4 linked regions of the Cricetulus griseus genome follow. The protein of the gene in region 4 interacts with the protein of the main gene of each other region in a pairwise test. Links are inferred from orthologs where the notes say so. Each region holds a gene or a part of one and is shown on either strand. Other genes may lie near its edges.

Region 1 (5,161 bases), on a different chromosome or scaffold from region 4:
CCATCTTATAGAGAGGCGCTCTACCACTGAACTACACTCTAACCCCCATTCTTGAGTTTTACATTTGCCTTTGGGTCATGGTGATAAAAAAGCTGGGCCTCAAGAAGACAGCCCCCGCCCCCAGCTCCAGAGCACCAATTCCTAAAGCATGCTGGGAAACAGCAAGACTGTGTCAAGTCTAATGACATACTCCCCGAATAACCTATTTTTCTTAGGTCAGAAAGTGAACTAATAGGCAGGGAGAACTGTGCTCTTCTTACCCCCTGGACACCGGGCGGGAAGACATACTGGATGACAATGGTGCCGTACTTCTCATAGCTGGGTAGCAGGAGGGTGGCATCCTTGGAGACCAGCATCCGTCCGTTCTGGGGCTGGTTGCCCACAAGCTGCCCATAGAATCGGCCACACATGGGGCAGGCTTTTTTCACCTGCAGGGCCCGTGTGATGCAGCCCTCGCAGAATGAGTGCCGGCACTTCTCCAATGTCTTGGCATTCTGGATCTCCCCCAGGCAGATGGGGCAGGTGCTTTCCTGTTCTTCAGCCTCCTCCCTCAGACGAGGAGGAAGTGGAGGGGGCAGGGGGGGAGGAGGAGGGGGGAGCCCTCTTGCCCCTGGAGGCAGGAGTGGGGCTGCTCGAAGAGGAGGCGGACCTGGGCGGTGCAGCTCAGGGTGCTCCCCACCACCCCCCAGAGCCAGGCAGCCCATGAGCTCCCCCTGCCTCTGAGCTTTCTTCAGCTCCTTCTCAGCCTCTTTCAGTAACCCCTTGAGAGCCTTGCGGGCCAGGTAGAGCCCATTGGGAGGGGCTGGGGGAGGACCCTGTGGGGAGAGCTGGAGCACGTAGATGTCAGAAGTCTCCCCATCTATGAGGATGGACACTCGGTGCTCCTCCCGAAGCCGGGCCAGCCGGGCTGGGGTCTCCTTGCTCAGGAAGTCCCACACAGGCTTGGAGACAGTCACTTTGTTCTTGCAGGTGCCTCCACAGGCTGCCATTCTGGACAGGACGAACGACACTGCCCCCAGGGTGAAAGGGACTCAGCGTGGGGAGTGTCCCCATTTGACACATATAAGTGCTTCCTACTCCAGGTTCCCTCCAAACCTCACATCACCTCCTGTGTTCCTCAAAGCCAACCCCCAATACCTCCTGCAAACTGTTTTTCTATCACCCCTTCTCTCCCATAGTCCCAGCACTTGCTGGGGAACAAGAGTTTCTATATTTTATCATTATCTAAACCAAGCACCAACCTTACTTGTTTCTTTCATTTCTCCCCTGACCACCAGCAACCTGCCCCTTCCCCTCATAGAAAAGAAAAATAGGCTTTTCAAATGAGAAGGGAGACTTCCCTCCCCTACTTTTTGCTCACTTTGATCCGGAAGAGCTTAGGATTGGCATGCAGGCTCACTCCTTTTCCCTGCTACTTGGAGACCGTTGGCCTAGTGGGATGAGAAAGAAAAGGAAGTAAGAATAGGTTCTCCAATCCCCACAGGCCCCAACTCAGTAGCCTTTGAAACAGACAGGAACCTGGAGTAGTGTCCTGGGCATGGGAAGAACATGAACTGAGCGTCCCCTGGGGGTGCAGGTACCTGAAAAGACCATGGGAGATGGTGCAAGTCTCTCTACTTCCACATTGAGCTGACCAGAGCTGGGGATGAAGAAGGTAGAGAGTTATGATAGCACTTCCTCAGTCAGCCCAGAAACAAAACACTTATATCGCCTCTCCTCCCCTGCAGAATTCCAGGCACAGCCTCTCAAATTGCTCAGGAACTTCACCAGACCAGCTCCCCACCACCACCAACCCCAGTGCAGAGGAAGAGAGATCCTAGGTTCAGACAAAGGCCCTGGGGATGAAGCCTGCACTTGCCATCTCCCTCAGATTGACTACACTGACAGAAATATTTCCTATGTTCCTCAACTCATTTCTTTACTCCACATTCTCAAATAAGTCAAGTCCCTGTTGTTGACGGGGGACCTTTCCCTGAGAGCGAAGTCTGTTAGGGATGCCAGCAAAGTGATAGCAGTCCCTGCAATAACAAAGTTCTCATTGTCACCTTTAAACCCATTGCCTGCAGAGCTGTTGTCAGCTCTTGGATCTGCATTTAGGAGGGGCAGGGCTCAAGCAGGAGCTCAGCTAGAGGGCCCCCACGTTTTCCCCCCTGAGTCCTGTCACATTCAGCTCCGGGGCTGTTCCCGGAGTGCGGCTCAATTAGGAAGAGGGGGCCATTAACAGTGACCTCAATTCCTTGACTCATCCAAAGAAGAAGCCGCTGTCCCTCAGTGCCTTCATCCTAGGGCCCTTAAGATGAAACTCTAGAGTCCCAGCCCACATGGCCCGTGCACCGTAGCATGCCCCCACCCCGGCACAGAGGACCCAGGATCTCGGTGTCCTAGCTCCAAGCCCTGCTGGCACAGCACAAGGAGGCGGGGCCACAGTTTAGTCTGGTCTAGCATTCCTCTGAGGCAAACCAGGCCGGACAGGAGCCCAGTGACTCCCTCCGGGCAGCGGCCCCAGGCAGGGACACCGAGAAAGGGCGAGGGTCCCCTGGGGGGTGTCCACCGAGGCACCCCCACCCTTCTCCTCCCCCAGACCTGGCCCCCAGATCCATCCAACCCGAAGCCAACTCCCGCATCCCTACTCGAGGAAGCCCCGGAGTCCCGCCGCTGGGTGAGGGCGTGTGTCCGCCCGACTGCGGCCCTCAGAACCCCCAAATGGAGGCCGAGGGCTGGAGGTGCCGGCAGGATGATGCTGGGCCCGGCCCCGATGGTGCCGGCTCGCAGCGCCGCCGGGAGAGCGAGCGCCGGAGGTCAAAGGCGGAGGAGGGGACGGAGGGGCTCGGGGGGCTCGCGAGGGTGCCGATCGGGCCTGGGGGGCACGCGGTGGGTGTGGGGGCGCCGGGCTCACCTACCTCTCGTCAGCGCCGCCATTGCCGGTCACATGACTGAGGCTGTTGCTGGGATGACGGTCCGGGCCTTAGCAACAAGGGGCGGGGGAAGACCCCGGGAAGGTGGCAGGGGAAGCCGGGGCGCCGATGAAGAGGAAGGAGGGAGGACAGCACCCCTCTCCCCTGGGCGGGTGATGATCACCGTTTCCCTTGGTCCCCTCCTCCTGCTACCCGGGAGCCCCTGCCTCTCTGCCCCAAAACAAAAATGGAGGCGCAGATCCAGGCTTTGGAGGGAGGGGTGGCGTCATGTAACCGAGGGTAGGAGGTGAAATCCCTTAGAAACGCCGCTCTTTTGGCTTCCCTCCTCCCGGAGGAGCCCTCTCCCCTTCTTCTTCCCCAGCCAGCTGCGTGGCACCTTTGGGAGCCGGTAGTGGATGGGTGCGTGAGCAGTGCGGTGGGTGTATGGATTTGGAGGGGAAGGCAGTCTTTTTTTAAAATCTTAGGCTGTAAGAGCTTTAAAAGAAAAAAAAAATGTTGTATGGGAAGAGTTCTGGAAAAAAAAAAAAAGGAAAACACTGGTACTACACAATAAACCCTGTGACTAAACTACTTCCATCCCCTCCCTCCTGCTAGTGTTACCTCCGGTGACCCCCCACAGCCTGTTGCCAGATGGGGACGGGTGACTAGCTTTCCACAAACAGGGACACAGGTTGGTGCAGAATGCGAAGTGAACAGAAAAAAAAAAAAAAAAAAAAAGGCTTGGGGTGGTGTTGCTGTCAAGTACGTGGCTCAAAAGAGTTAAAAATTCCCAAAGAAAAAAAAGCTCTGCCCTGCTTCTCACCAGAACAGTCTCCGCCTCCTGCAACTCTCTTCCCCGAGGCCACATCAAGCCAGGTTTTTCCACCAGCCAAGACCTCAGCCAAGACCTCCTGAGTCTCCCAGAGCAGCCACAACCGCGTCATCCATCCCTTCCCATCCCCTCCCCCACGAACCGGAGGACTGGTCACTCCTTCGCTTTCCCAGGACCTTGTTGTACTCCTCCTGCCCTCTAAGTAGATAGCTTTCCCAGGAAGCCTGGGTGAACAGAGAATTCCTCCCCAAATAGCTGTTAGGCTGAGAGGCCCACTCAAGTTAGGAGATGTAGCCAGAGCACTGGGGAAAGAGGGGCAGCACCATCCTACCCTTCCCTGGCCACCATCACTGCTGAATTCCCACAAAGTTGAGGAATGTTTTCCACTCCCATGACCCCACCCCACAACTATAAGTCCACAGCCATCTTGGAAACTTCCCACATATTCAGGAGCCCAACAACACCTTGAAGACCAATATTCTTCATTTGGTCTCTGCATCCTGTAAACACAGGGATCCCTCAACATTTTCAGAGGGAAAAAAGTTTCTGTGAATGATTTGGACCGAATAATTTATTTTATTGTGATATTGGGAGTAAATACAGGTAAATAGAGATTTTTATTAATAAAAAATGATGGAAAACAGAAGCAATAAATGAAGATGACCGTTCTGCCCATAATACACAACCTCTTGGTTGGAGAATCCAGTTCTAAGGAACTGCTGCTGGTGCCATGGGGCTTTATTGCATCAACAGGGAAAAGGGTGACTATGGGATGGATGGAAGAGGCCCAGCAGGCAGGCCCCTCCCACCCCAGCTGGGCCTGCCTTTTGCTGCTTCCTTTGGTGTAAAGGTGAGAAGGGGGCTTCTCCCTGAGGACCTCATAGCTTTGTGCCCTTACTGCCCACCCCCCACTCCCAGGGTGTGGAGGTCTAAAGGGGAACAGAACAGCAACAATGCCCGTCTTGGTTCCAAAGGCTCTGGGCAGAGACAAGACTGTCTATCTCATGGCAGAATCTTGTTTTCCCAGATAGTCTCACGTATCCTTGGCTGGCCTCAAACTCGCTATGGAACTGAGGGTGACCTTGAATACCTGATGCCCCTTGCCTTCTTTTCCCAAGTGCTGAGATTATAGGTGTGCACCACCACATCTGGTTTGCATGGTGCTGAGATGGAACCCAGAGCTTTGTACACGCTAGGCAAGCACTCTATCCACTGAGTTATCTCCAATGCTCAAACCCATACCTTCTTTGAGTTTTCCTGAGACCATGTCTTACTCTGTAGCCCAGGCTGTTCAAGCTGGCCTTGAACTCTCACTGACTCTGCTGCAGCCTCCTTGAGGGCTGGGTTTTAGAGGCATTAGCTGCCCTGAAAGTTCCTCTACATTCTGAGAGTATCTATCACGCATTAACTCAGCTATCTTTGGAAGGGATCCGGT
Region 2 (5,157 bases), on a different chromosome or scaffold from region 4:
AGGTGTGTGCCACCACAAAAACCCGGATAGGACACACCTTTTTCACTCCTTTCAGAGCTTTTGGAGGATCGTGAGAACAGCTTTTAAGGTATACCAGAGTGGCTTTGGCCTTGCCTTCATGTAAAGCTTTGCCCTAACCTACAAAACCCTAGCCCCACTAGGATGGATTCCTCAGCTCAGGTATCTTGTCTATGTGCTTTTGTATGGGTCTGGTTTGACGTGACCACAGCCATCTTGAGTCATAGCCACCACGATTGCCCCTGAGTAATCCCAGCTGGTTTTTCCTGTATAGTCTCCCAACAAACCACAAATAGATAAAAATAATTAGAGTCAAATATGGGGCTTTGTACAACCAGACCCTGACCCCAGGAATGCATCCGACTCTTTGATATTAAGATAAACTGGGTACAGTCCAGCCATGGTGAAGTCACTTTTGTCCCAACCCATAAGTGCACTCCTCTCTCTGACCCAGGTTGTGGGCTATCATCTGTTTTACTGCCACTCAAGACTACACTTCCCTTAGCAAGTCCTACAATAAATTGCTCTCTGTGTAATTCTAGAGTCTGACTACCTGTCTGTGGAACCATGTTATATTGGGGCCGGTTCTCATGCAGTAGGCCTGGGCTGGGTTGACCAAAAACAGCTTTAAACAGGGGCAATGTTTCCATCGGATGGACACGATCCACGGATTTGTATAGACTGACTTCCGGTACTTGCTGGCTCCTCCTAGGCACAGAGAGGCGAATATGCACAGCTCCTGCTTTCCTTGGGTAACTTTGGGAAGTAAGACACCCTCATGGGAAAGGACTTTTCAGTGAAGCGGCTTGTTTTGTGTCCTTAACTGCTGATAGGGCATTGTTTGTTTTTCATTAGATGGACATTTATAGGCTAAACATAACCAGCCAGTAACTTGACTATGTTATCAGAGCCCACTCTTATCAGTGGTTCCTGTTCTATTTCGTAAGACTAATTGGCACGGAGTCACTGTGGAGTCAAGTGACGTGGATGGGCCCACGTGATCCGATAAAAGCTTAGAGAATGGACCAGCCTTGGAAAGGCAGAGAAGGGACAATACTGACAGCCCAAGGGACTCACTGGATCTTGGGACTTATATGGTGCCAGTTATACACATTATCCCATTTAAGTCACAACACCAGGCGTCGGTACTGGTATTACCTGCAATTCATGGGAGGGAGGGAGGAACATGAGACTTAGCAATGCAAAGTCTAAGCTACCTGACTTTAAAGATTGTCTCCTCTCCTCTCCTCTCTCTGTGGTTTGCTTTGATTTTCAGTAGTGAGCACAGAACCCAGGGCCCTACACAGGTTAGGCAAGTGGTCTACCATTGAGCCACACCCAGCCCTACCTAATTTGAGCTCTCACATAGTATACTATGTGCTTCACCGGGCTCAGCATTGCACTGGCATAGAGATAAAAGCACTGACAGCCGTTCCTTCAGTTGACTCTCCCCTCCCAAATTCAGGGACAGAGACAAGAAAGTGGGGGAGAAGACAACCAGCTGCTCGCACACATGCAGTAGAGCTGGGGAGCCCTGAAGCTCTGACTGCGAAGCTATGACTGGCATTTTACTCCCTTTCCCAAGCTCTGAGGTCTTGCTCAACTCTAGCTGAGTAACAAGGCTGGCAGGGTTACCTCACTTCTTGACAGCAGGCCCCAGCCTTCCTGGCTCAAACCCACTTCCTGTCCCAGAGTCTCTCTTGTTAGGCATGATTGAGTCTCATTCTTCCTGTTGACTTCTGTTTTGTTCCAGCTGGTCCCCGGGTGGCCCCCACGTGCTGCTGTGAACCAGATCAGCTGAGGACCTGCGACCAGGTGCCTTGTGATGTGACTTTGGGGAGTTGGGGTGAGGGGAAGCGAATGGGTGGGAGCCTGGGCCTACCCCGAGAGAGAGCAGAGTGGAGGCTTCTGGAGTCTGAGGATTCTTTCTGCCCATATGGTGGTCAAAGGCTGAAGTTAGTTTGTAAAGTCATTATGTCCCTAGTGGCAGGTGACACTGGGAGTTTGCTACAGTGAATTTTTCTGAAAGCACAGTATCTTCCATCTTCTGGATTCTGATTACCTTGATTTGGTTTCTGTTTCCTGGGCTGCCTGCTAGCATTTCTTCAGGGGCTGGGCAGCTCTTTGGGTTCAGACAGGTTTACCTGGAGCTGATGAAGACACAATCAGGGTGAGGCTCTGGTGTCATGCTGGACTGAACAAGTGAGGGGCTTGTGTTGAGATATTGTGTACTTCTAAACTGCTTAACTGCTTATGGGATAGTTGCTTCTTTCAATCTGTTTTCTTGTCTACAGATGGCAAAGTATCTTTATTTTGTTTAGATTTGTGTAGAGCTTATAGAAAAATGGTTGTGAAAATGTTTCCTAGATTGTAAGGTTGTATTTTTCAAGGCTTGGGGCTATCTTTATTTCATTTTCTAAAGAAAACTAGACATACTTTTTCATGATAATGTTTTACTTGGTAAATATCAAAACAGTACAGTTCAGTACACTGAAAATCTTTGCATAAGTAAACACCTAAATATGAGCACTTTGACATATAAACTTAAAATTTATCTATTTTTATGTGTATGTCTGTGCGTGGGTATGTGCACACAACTGTGGGTGCCCTTAGAAGCCAGACACCCTGTAACTGGAGTTAAAAGACAGTGTGATCGATCCTCCATGTGGATTCTGGGAACCAAAGCCAGTTCTCTGCAAGATCAGCAAGTGCTCTTAACCATTTAGCCATCTCCAGGTCCCCAGCCCCCATTTGATTCAGGGTCTCAAGTCTATAAAGTCTTGTTTGATCTAGAATTTTCTATGCAGAACAGGTTGGCCTTGAATCTGTCTCGATTTTCCCGCCTCTGACTTCTGAGTGCAAGGTTTCTAGGTGTGCACCGCCGCACCCACTTTCAGCACTCTCACCTGGCTTCAACATACACATTTTGTTTCAGAGACAGATTTTTATGTAGCATAGGCCAGCTGGAACTCACTGTATAGCTGAGGATGACCTTGAACTCCTGTTTTCCTGGCTACACACACCAGAGCTAGGAGTATAGGCATGAGCCATCACACCCAATTGACATACTTTCAGTACAATTTTTAATGTTGAATTCTATTTACTGTCCTGTAACTTCCCTCCTTCTCTCCTTTCCTTTTCTGCTCCTTCCTTCCTTCCTTCCTTCCTTCCTTCCTTCCTTCCTTCTTTCCTTCCTTCCTTCCTTCCTTCCCTCCTTCCTTTCTTAGACACAGCTTCACTGCATAGTCCTGGATGGTCTGGAACTTGCTATGTAGACCAGGCTGATCTCAAACTCACGGATATTCCTCTGTCTCTGTGCTGGGATTAAAGGCATGTGCTACCACATCTGGCCTATGTGGCTATTTTTTAGTTTTCTGTTAATAAAAGGCAAGGGTACAGAAGTCATTTATCAGCTACCCATATTATTGTTTCCATCCTCCCAATAAGATAATTTGTTTACGTTGCTGCTGTACTCTCAACTGTGAGGATGGTGATTGTTAGTATTCAGGAATCCGTACTGGCCTGCCCTTGGGGTCCTGACCAGACACACCCTCAGCTGCAGCTACTAAGAGCACCACCTGTGCATATTCACTATGTTCCCTTAAAAAGGACCCTGTCTATCTCCCATCCTCCTCTCTTTCTCTCTCTCCCTTTCTGCTTCTCTTTGCTTGCTCCCCAGAGGCTGGTTTCCCCACCCCTTTCCCTTTAATGGTCCCTTTCCCTCCATTGAACTCTGTGGCATCTCATCTTTCTCTCTTGGGCTGCCTTTTTTTTTTTTTTTTTTTTTAGTTACAACACAGATAATGGTGATAATGTTCCTTTTTTGTTTTACTTTTTGCTCCTGGAATTGATAGTTGCCTCAGGTTTTTCTTTATTTAGTAATCGTGTGTGTGTGTGTGTGTGTGTGTGTGTGTGTGTACTTTCCAGCTATTGGGCCTGGCCTGTGTGTAGTGTGCTCATATCTGGATGAGGCTGTGTGGTCAGGAGACCCACTGAAGAATTCCCTTCAGCTGCCTCATGCTGCTGCCGCCATCCCTTCCTCGCCAGCATGGACTGTACCCTCCAACTGTGAGGCCCAAGTAAATCCTTTCTTCTTAAAAAAAAAAAAAAAAAAAAAAAAAAAAAAAAGATTCTCTGGCCACCTGCATGGAGGGTGTAAGAGAGGTTGCCAGCATTTTGCGGGGTCACCCAAGGCAGGGGCTGAGACATCATGGCCTTGGAGGTGTCCTTTCTCCCTGAACCTCCTTTTTTGTGGTGAAGTAATCTAACTTCTTCTGGGTCTTCTCACCTTCTGCTGTTGGGCAGGGGTGAGGCAAATGCTTTGGTTTGCCTGCTACCTAGACTGTGAAGTCTGTATCTAAATTGGTGGTTCTCAACCTGTGGGTCATGACCCTTTTGCAGGGGTCGCCTAAGGCCATCAGAACATACAAACATTTATATTATGATTAATCACAGCAAAATTAGAGTCATGAAGTAGTAAGGGAAATAGTTTTATGGTTTGGGGTCATCACAGCATGAGGAACTGTATTAAAGGATCTGGGCATTAGGAAGGTGGAGAACCACTGCTCTAAATGCCCTGTAAATGCACTACCTCCAATACATCTTCCTGTTTTCCCATTCCTCTTGCGTTCTGAAGCAGCTAGAAACCCTAACTCAGGAGCCTTTCTGGAGTTCAGAGGCATGGCACAACTTGCTCTGGTTGGCATCTAGCTTTCAGCTTCCTGACTGTTGCTGGCTTTCACTCCTTCACACACTTTCAGGCTTGCAGCATCATGTGTGGACATATCCTTTTGGCTTTTTTTTTTGGGGGGTGTATTTTGTTTTGTTTTTGAGAAGGCTCTCTCTAGGTAGCTCTGGATGTTCTGGAACTTTTTAAATAGAGCAGGCTGGCCTTGAACGCATAGAAGTTTTTCTTCTGTCTCTTGAGTACTGAGATCAAAGGTGTTCGATACTAGGTCCAGCAAAAACCCAGAGTCTTGCTCATGCTAGGCAAGTAGTATACCACTAAGCTGGTACTAGCTGTATTTATCTGTTTATGAGACAGGTCTTCATACCGAGATTTGGTTGGAGCTCACTCTATTATGCAGGCTGGCCTTGAGATCAAGGCAGTCCTCAGCACTCAGGAGGTGTTTATTGACC
Region 3 (4,716 bases), on a different chromosome or scaffold from region 4:
TAGGGGCATCAAATGGAACCCTGGACTGAGCACATCCTCCTGCTCCAGGGGCACCTCTCTCTCCAGCTTCTGTCCACTAGTTTTCAGATTTATTTTTGTTTGTGTTTGTGTATATTTGTGTATGCATGTGACATGAGTGTGCTGATGTCTGCAGAGGTAAGAGGGTGGCACTATGTCCCTGGAGCTTAAGCTACCGACTGAGGACCCGGAGATAGGTGCTGGGGACTGAACGCCCGGAGATAGGTGCTGGGGAGCACTTGTAATTGCTGGGCCATCTCTCCTTAATTTTTTCAATAAAAACGTATTACTTTTTAGTTGCTTTGGGTGTGAATGTGTGTGGGCACACCTGCACAAGGCAGAGCATTCTCAGGGATCAGTTCTCTTCTTGTCTACCATGTGGGTTCTGGGAATCATCATCAGGCCTGGGCAGCGAACACCTTTGCTTTCATCGAAACGTATTGGTTTTGGTTTTGTTTGTTTTGGTTTGGGGTATTTTGACACAGGAGAGCCAAGGCTGTCCTGAAAATCATTCTGGAACCAGGCTGGCCTTGAACTCATTGAGATCTGCCTACTTCTTCCTCACAAGTCCTGGGATTAAAGGTGTGCATCTACACTACCAGGTCATTGAGCCATATTGCAACCCCTAAATTTTTTTTTTTTTTTTTTGAGATAGGATTTCTCTGTGTATTCCTACCTTTTCTGGAACTCTCTCTGTAGGCCAGGCTGCCCTTGAACTCAGAGATCTGTCTGCCTCCCAGTGCTGGCACTAAAAGCATGAGCCACCACGCCCAGCTTTTGATTTTCTGTTTGTTTAATATTTTTATTTTATGTGTATACGTGGTTTGCTTGTATGTATCTTATGTGTATAAGTGGTTTGCTTGTATGTATCTATGTGCATTGTATGTGCTGACACCATGCCTGCAGAGACCAGTGTAGGGCGCTGGGTCCCTGGGAACTCGAGTTCCAGATGGCTGTGAGTCACCGTGTGGGTGTTGGGGACAGAACCTGGGTTCCCTGCAAGAGCAACCAGTGCTCTTAACCCATGGGCCCTTGATCCAGATCCCACCCCCATCACTTTTTTGAGACTAAGTCTTTCATCTTTTGTTGCAGGGGAGGTGGGGGGAGTTTGAGACAGGGTTTCTCTGTGTAGCTTTGTAGACCAGGCTGGCCTCGAACTCAAAGAGATTCACCTGTCCGCCCCCCCCCCACACACACACACACTCCAGAGTGCTGAAATTAAAGGTGTGAGCCACCAATGTCCGACTTTTGAATGATTTTCTTCCTTTATTTTTCTATTTCATTGGTAGTGGGGGGGGGTCGCCTCACTATATGTATGTAGCCCTAGCTGATCTGGAACTTGCTTTATAGACAAAGCTGGTCTCAAATTTACATTATAGCTAAGGCTAATCTTGAATTCCTAACCTTAGGCAGCAGGAGTGCATCTCAGGGTGAGAGAGGCCTCAGGTTAAGAGCATTGGCTGTTGGGCTGGAGAGATGGCTCAGGGGTTAAGAACACTGCCTGCTCTTCCAAAGATCCTGAGTTCAATTCCCAGCAACCACATGGTGGCTCACAACCATCTGTAATGAGATTTGGTGCCGAACACTGTACATATAATAAATAAATAAATAAATAAATAAATAAATAAATAAATCTAAACAAGAAATTCCCTAAAAAAAAAAAAAGCACTGGCTGCTCTTGCACAGGACTGAGTTAGTTCAGCACCCACGTGGGCTCACAACCTTCTGTAACTCCAAGAGGGGGATTTGAGGCCTCTAGTTTCTGAGGGCACTTACATGTATGTACATACAATTAAAAGCAATAAAAATAAATTTTAAAAAGTTTTCTTTTAAAAGTTTTTATTACCTTTGTTTATTATTTCTGTGTTGTGTGTGGGTGCAGGTATGTTATGGAAGTCAAAGGGCTGTCTGTGGGGTCAGTCCCCTCCTGCCATGCAGGTCCCATGGACTGGACTTAGGTCACCAGGCTTGACATCAAGTTTACTGAACCAGGTCACTAGCCTCACATTATTTTTTAAAATTAATTAATTTTCTTTTCTCTTTGAGACAGGGTTTCTCTGTGTAGCTTTGGAGGCTGTCCTGGAACTAGCTCTTGTAGACCAGGCTGGCCTCAAACTCACAGAGACCCACCTGTCTCTGCCTCCTGAGTGCTGGCGTTAAAGGCCAGCACCACCACTGCCAGGCCACAAATTATTTCTGATAGATGAAAATTAATGCCAGGCGTTGGTGGCTCACGCCTTTAACCCCAGCACTCGGGAGGTCAGGCAGATCTCTGTGAGTTCGAGACCAGCCTGGTCTACAAGAGCAAGTTCCAGGACAGCCTCCAAAGCCACAGAGAAACCATGTCTCGAAAAACAAAACAAAAAGAAACAAAGAAAATTAATTTAATTTTATGTGCATTGGTATTTTGTCTGCATTCATGTCTGTGTGAGGGTGTTGGGTCCCGTACAACTGGAGTTACAGTTGGGAGCCACCATGTGGGTGCTAGGAATGAACCCAGGTTCTCTGGAAGAGCAGCCAGTGTTCTTACCTGCTGAGCCATCTCTCCAGCCCCTGTGAAAACTATTTCAAAATGAAAAGAAAATGCATCATTACAACCACAGAACCAGCACTAGATGTCAGACCTCTCTTTAGGAGAAGGTATGCAGGAGGCCACACTCTCACTGCCTGGGGACGCCCTTCCCTGCGTCATGAGATACTGGCAAGTGTGACAGGCAGATGGGCACTCCAAGCCAGCCTGACAGGAACAAGGAGTCCCTTTCTGCGTGGCTCAGAACCTTAATGTCACCTCTGGCACACACCACACACACACCCTTGACACCCAAGATGGTCACAGGGTTGACCTTTTCCAGCCTCCCCTTCAAGGCTCCGGGGTGACAGGGCAGGTGGGGGATAGGGGTGGTGTGACAGGTGGTAGGGGATGCTTTCTGACTGTCCCATGTCTCACTCCCCAGTTTGCTGAGAAGTTTCAGGAGGTGAAGGAAGCTGCCAGGCTGGCTCGGGAGAAATCTCAAGATGGTGGAGAATTCACTAGTCCTGCCCTAGCCCTTGTGTCCCACCAGGTAAGTATTCCTGTACTCCATGTCTGCTGGGCCCCATGCCTACCACTCACGAGACAGCTGGATATGCTTCTGATGTCAGGGTGTCTAAGGCTGGCTGATGGCATTACTGCGCTTATGTGTGTGTGTGCACACATCTGAGGACAATTTGTGGGAGTCAGCTCTCTCCTTTCAGCATGGCATCAGGCTTGGTGACCTACTGAGCCATCTCTCCAGCCCATGCCTCAGTTTTATGTGGGTTGTTTGAAGTCTCTGTGCCCAGGGGAAAACTTTCAAGTGTTCAGAGTCCTGTTTCCGTAGGTTGTTCGGGTCTTGAGGGTTTAGTGAAAACCAAGTCGTGTGTGTGTGTGTGTGTGTGTGGGGGGGGGGTTCCTCTATCCAGGGGTCTGGGGAGCTATGGAGGGTGAGGAGGGGAGACACACACTAGGCTTCACAGGTCAGTTAAGACTCCCTGATCTCAATCAATACCCCAGTGACCCCAGTCCTAAACTCAATTAGCCTTAGCTCCTACTGCGTCTTGACTAAGGCAAGTGCTCACCTTGACCCAGTCCTGGCTCCCATACACAGGTTCCCCCAAGCCCCTTGGTCAGCACCAATGGTCCGGGAGAGGAGAAGCTGTTCCGCAGCCAGAGTGCTGATGCCCCTGGACCTACCGAGCGGGAGCGGTTGAAGAAGATGCTGTCAGAAGGGTGAGGGGTAGGGCAGGTGCTGCTTGATGGGCACAGCAGAAGCCTGAGGGGTGTATTGTGACTAGGACTGAGCTTTAGGGTGGTGGGAGTAGTGTTTCTGGGTGCAGGGCCTTGGCTGGCACCTTATAAGGGATTGTGCCAAGGAATCCCCAGGACGGGTCTTTAGGATGCAGAGGACGTGGTGTTGCTGGGGTCAGGGGTGTGACTAAGGGGTGTAGGATGGGGCTTTGGAAGGCCGTGGTCATTTTGGAGCAAGTCTTGTGTGGGTGTGGACTGCAGCAGCAGCAGCTGGCAGGGTGTGGGGTAGGAACCTGGGCTGCAGACTTGGGAAAGGAGGAGGCAATTGGTTTCTGCCTCATCTGGAGAGGAGGCTGCTCCTCCAGCATCACTGGCACCCATTCCATGGCTCTCACGTGCAATCTGGGAGGGGCAGGGATAGGTTCCCAAAATTTCTGGAGGTAGGGTCTCCCTGTGTAGCCCACTCTGGCCTGGAACTCATTATGTAGCCTAGACTGGCATCGAACTTAAGGGTACCCTCCTGTCTCAGCTCCACATGCATGGTCCCCACTCCCTAGCTTAGTGTTGTTTTGACCCTAATCCTAGCCCAGGAGGCTCTCCACCAGATGCCACCTGCGCTGACCATGCACGCCCCCAGCCCGGTGTCTTCCCCACAGCTCCGTGGGCGAGGTCCAGTGGGAGGCTGAGTTCTTTGCGCTGCAGGACAGCAACCAGAGGCTGGCAGGGGCCCTTCGCGAGGCCAACGCGGCTGCCTCACAATGGAGGCAGCAGCTAGAGGCCCAACGGGCAGAGGCCGAACGCCTGCAGCAGCGGGTGAGGATCCCCCACCCCCTCACATCCCTTCTGCCCTGTCAGTCTCCAGAGTTATCATTTCTTGCTGTAAGATGACTCGAGACCCTAAGAGCCTCCCATGGGTCATCAGGCCCTCCATG
Region 4 (3,824 bases):
TTCTCCCCACCGACCGCTGTTGTTTATTACACACATGAAAAACCACAAGCTTAAAAATGCAAGAGAAGCCGAGGAGCTGAGGAACACTGCTGACTCCGTATCTGCATCAGTCCGTCTCCCCTGACGGGCCGTGGCTCAGAGGCACCGGGCTCCTTGCTGCAGACCCCGACCAGGCCCGTATCAACTTCTGCTCGGCAGCTTTATTTTACTTTATTTTTCTCTTACTTGTCAGGATTTTGTTGTTGTTTTTGTGGTTTTTTTTTTTGAATTTTTAAAAAACTTAGGACGTGGGGCTGCCACAGGGAAGAGGGAAGGGCTGTAGCTCCTCAATGCTACATACGGGAGGGTGGACTGGCCAGTTCATAGAAGAGCAAATAGGCGTCGCTGGTGCGCACTTGGCTGGAGGACATGGGTGTGACACTGGAAAGATCAGGGAAAAGTCAGAGCCTGTCAAGGAAGGTCACTGGAGACACAGAGCTGAGTGGCTGAGGTTGGATATGTCTCAAACTTCTCTATGCCAATCTAAGCTCTGACTCGTCCTTTTTTTTTTTTTTTTGTCAAGATTTTTATTATTTTTAAATATGTGTATGTGGTATGTGTGTGGATACTTGCACTGAGTGTAGGTGCCCATGATGGCTAAGGGCAATAAACTCTTGTCCTCAGCAATAGTGGTAAGAGCTCTTAACCACTGTGCTATTTCTTCAGCTCCACCCCCAACCCTTTTTCCCTTTTTGGAGACAAGGTCTCACAGCCCAGACTGACTTCAAACTTGCTAAGTAGCTGAGGATGACCTTGAACTCCTGATCATCTTGCTTTCACCTCTCAGATGTTTGGTTACAGTTGTAAGCCACGGTGGCCACTTGGGACAAACCCAGAAAGGGCAGCATAGTCTTGTGTGTGTGATGTAGCTTTTGGCCTCGATTTTGTCCATTCAAGACGGAAGCCATATGAGGTTGCCTGCTGTCTAGGAGCCCTGTCTGAAGCCCATCTCTCACCTGGAGTCATTGAAAGTGTGCCATTCGCCCGTTACTGGACTTCGGCAGTAGGCTGTATAATGGCCTCCCATGGTGGTTCCGGAGTGATTGGACACAGCATACAGGTTGTAAACAGCATGGTCTGAGGAGGAACCACAGACAGGTGTCAAGCCCTGGAGGCATTCCTGCCCTTCCTCCATTTTATTTCCTATCTTTTCCCTTACAGAAAACAGCTTCTACTTAAAAAAGGTTGAAATTTAATTTTAGTTTGTGTGTGTGTGTGTGTGTGTAGGTCAGAAGGAAATCTTGAAGGAGTCAATATTCACTTCTCTCCTCCTGTGTGGTTTTGGGGTTCAATCTCAGATCTGTATCTCACCGGATCCTTACTTCCCAGTCTTTTCCTAATTTGCTAGCTTCCTCCCGCCTCTGCCTCTCAGCTTCAGGAAGCCTGTCCTCCTGAAGTAGACTCACTGGTGTTTTCTGAAGCAAATTCTCTCAAGTCCAGGTCTCTTAGTGGAAAATTCACAAATGTTGTGAGCTTGCTGGTTCGTATCCTGGATTCCGAGAACCGCTTCAGGTCTGTGATTGTCTCCAGTCAAGGACAAAAAGCCGGAAGAGAGTCCTTGGAGAAGCAGCTCTTCTCAGGAAGCAGGAAGACAAACACAGAAGCCTACACTGTTTTCACCCTACTCTGCTCCCCTCCCCTTTTGGTCCCTTGTCATTAGTCACCCCCAAAAGTCAGGTCCCAACCCTGGGGGGTTAAGGATACGGAGCACCAAGATCTTTGGGAACCTCTGCACAGAGAATTTCTTTATACATCGTTTCCTGGCTCGGCAGCGGTAGCATGTCTGAAAGACAGACAACAGGGGCTAGACCCAGGTGGCCCTTCCCCGTCCAGGCACTGTGGCTGGCTTCTGTCACTGAGGATACTTACTGGTTTTTCATCCCCATCCAGCACATCCTCTTTGGTGAAGAGCCTCATACAATCCATTAATGTCACCTCAGGATAACCTCTCTGGAGAGAAAAAAAAGTCCAGGTCAGCTGTCCATAACCTTGCAAAGCCCAAGAGGGAAGCTGACACGGGGCCACATCAGGGCATACCTTTGCAATGGGCAACGAGAGATCCCAGAAGGGATCGAAGACTGTAGAGCAGTAGCCACAGTCGGTGCAGGTCAGGGAGCTCTTCAGCTGGCCAACAAAGAGATCTGGGGAAGAGAAAGCCAGGGTGAGCTGCACATACGGAGTGCTTGCCTTCCTTTTCTCCCCACTCTTGCCTTGGTTTTGAGAGTCACAGGCAGAAGCAGGGTTCCCTGGGAAAATGATCTTCAGGGCTTCTCAAGCAAAAGTAGGGGACAGCAGACACAGGTATTTTCTTGTCTGTGTACTTACCCCCAATTCGACTGTCTTCCCTCTCCAGATACTTCCTCCACATCTGTCGCCCTTTTTCATCATCACTGGGAACCGCAGACAGGAAGACAGCTGCATTAGAGCTCAAACCCTGATATGCTTAGGTGCTAGCAACTAGAATATATTTATATGCAATATGGTTTTTGTGGTGCTGGGCATGGAACCCCAGGCCTTGATCATGATCCTCACACAGTCCACTGAGTTGTACCCCACAAGCCATCGTTTTCTTCAGACAGGGTTAGCCCAGGCTGGCCTCCTACCTCAGCCTTTTGAAATCTAGGATTACAGGTATATACCACCAAGCCTGGCTTCAAAATCTTCAATCCTGAGGATGTCACTTAGTGGCAGAGTGCTCTCCCATCATGTACAAGGCCCTTATGTACAATCCCCAGTAACACACACATTACTGTCACCAAAATAAAAAAGCTCGTGTTTAAAAACAACAAAGCAAATCTGATTCTCCCCTCTTTGAGAGATCACCACTCTCAAAGAAGTGGTATGCATCTCAAGTTCACAAAGGCTTCACTTCACAGCAGCATTGTCCTCTTACTTACGGGAGGTGATCAAGATTCTCAGGGCTGGGCTTGGGCCTCACAGTCACCCGGTTCACCTCATTGTGGAGCCCATCCAGGAGGAAGCGAAGGAACTCCTGAGCATCCTGCTGACTGAACCCAAAGAAAGTGAGTGAGCAGCATCTACCAACACCCTGCTTGTGCCACCCCCTCTTGGGGGAGGACATGCATTCGAGGCCCTTACTTATAGCCAACAAAGCGTGGTGCATATCTCTGAATCTGGGTCTTGAACTCAGATGGGCTCACCACATCATTGGGGGATGATGTCCATATGGTCTGGATTAGTTTTGCAAATTCTGTTGAAAGGAACAACCAGAGAGAGGGTGGAGGAAAGGTGAGATATTTGCTTTTGTAAAAAGCAATTTTATTTTAGTGTGTGTGTGTGTGTGTGTATGTGTGTGTGTGTGTGTGTGTGTGTGTGTGTATGTATGTATGTATGTATGCTTGTGAGTGCCCAAGGAGGCCAGAAGAGGGTGCTGGACCCCTGGAACTAAACTTACAGGTTGTTGTAAGTTGCCAGACATGGGTTCTGGGAATCAAATATGGTCCTCTGTAAGACCAGATGGCTCGCTCAACTACTGAGCCATCTTTCCAGTCCCAGGATTGTGTACACACACACACACACACACACACACACACACACACACACACACACACTGTACACACACACACACACACACACACACACACACACCACACACACACACACACATACACACAAAACCTTGAGCTAGGTATGGTAGTGCACACTCATGAACCCAAGTTAAGGTAGAAGGATCAGGAGTTCAAGGCCACCTTGGGCTACATGAGACTGTCTCAAAAAAAAAAAAAAAAAAAAAAAAAAGACAACTATCCAACCAACCCATGGAT

The links.
Region 1: the proteins of Usp2 (region 4) and Dtx3 interact in binary tests that used the Homo sapiens proteins (3 or more experiments, as listed by UniProt). The link is inferred for Cricetulus griseus from reciprocal best matches to the Homo sapiens genes USP2 and DTX3.
Region 2: the proteins of Usp2 (region 4) and Ndel1 interact in binary tests that used the Homo sapiens proteins (3 or more experiments, as listed by UniProt). The two-hybrid records come from large-scale screens. The link is inferred for Cricetulus griseus from reciprocal best matches to the Homo sapiens genes USP2 and NDEL1.
Region 3: the proteins of Usp2 (region 4) and Homer3 interact in binary tests that used the Homo sapiens proteins (3 or more experiments, as listed by UniProt). The two-hybrid records come from large-scale screens. The link is inferred for Cricetulus griseus from reciprocal best matches to the Homo sapiens genes USP2 and HOMER3.

What each region holds. Positions count from the first base shown.
Region 1 is NW_023276806.1:130,519,532-130,524,692, reverse strand, and holds the start of Dtx3 (probable E3 ubiquitin-protein ligase DTX3), read right to left. Parts: upstream 3,616-5,161; 5' UTR 3,516-3,615; exon of another isoform or gene 3,495-3,515; intron 3,390-3,494; 5' UTR 2,901-3,389; intron 1,640-2,900; 5' UTR 1,581-1,639; exon of another isoform or gene 1,519-1,580; intron 1,431-1,518; 5' UTR 1,362-1,430; coding exon 1,361-1,361; exon of another isoform or gene 1,351-1,360; coding exon of another isoform or gene 1,350-1,350; intron 1,010-1,349; coding exon 261-1,009; intron 1-260. UniProt on the Homo sapiens protein: Regulator of Notch signaling, a signaling pathway involved in cell-cell communications that regulates a broad spectrum of cell-fate determinations.
Region 2 is NC_048600.1:82,758,353-82,763,509, reverse strand, and holds the start of Ndel1 (nuclear distribution protein nudE-like 1), read left to right. Parts: upstream 1-1,702; 5' UTR 1,703-1,833; intron 1,834-5,157. UniProt on the Homo sapiens protein: Required for organization of the cellular microtubule array and microtubule anchoring at the centrosome. May regulate microtubule organization at least in part by targeting the microtubule severing protein KATNA1 to the centrosome.
Region 3 is NW_023276806.1:248,679,834-248,684,549, reverse strand, and holds part of Homer3 (homer protein homolog 3), read left to right. Parts: intron 1-2,972; coding exon 2,973-3,080; intron 3,081-3,644; coding exon 3,645-3,766; intron 3,767-4,440; coding exon 4,441-4,597; intron 4,598-4,716. UniProt on the Homo sapiens protein: Postsynaptic density scaffolding protein. Binds and cross-links cytoplasmic regions of GRM1, GRM5, ITPR1, DNM3, RYR1, RYR2, SHANK1 and SHANK3.
Region 4 is NC_048597.1:155,789,730-155,793,553, reverse strand, and holds part of Usp2 (ubiquitin carboxyl-terminal hydrolase 2), read right to left. Parts: intron 3,251-3,824; coding exon 3,139-3,250; intron 3,048-3,138; coding exon 2,937-3,047; intron 2,430-2,936; coding exon 2,365-2,429; intron 2,181-2,364; coding exon 2,077-2,180; intron 1,990-2,076; coding exon 1,909-1,989; intron 1,823-1,908; coding exon 1,744-1,822; intron 1,554-1,743; coding exon 1,446-1,553; intron 1,117-1,445; coding exon 996-1,116; intron 421-995; coding exon 333-420; 3' UTR 1-332. UniProt on the Homo sapiens protein: Hydrolase that deubiquitinates polyubiquitinated target proteins such as MDM2, MDM4 and CCND1. Isoform 1 and isoform 4 possess both ubiquitin-specific peptidase and isopeptidase activities.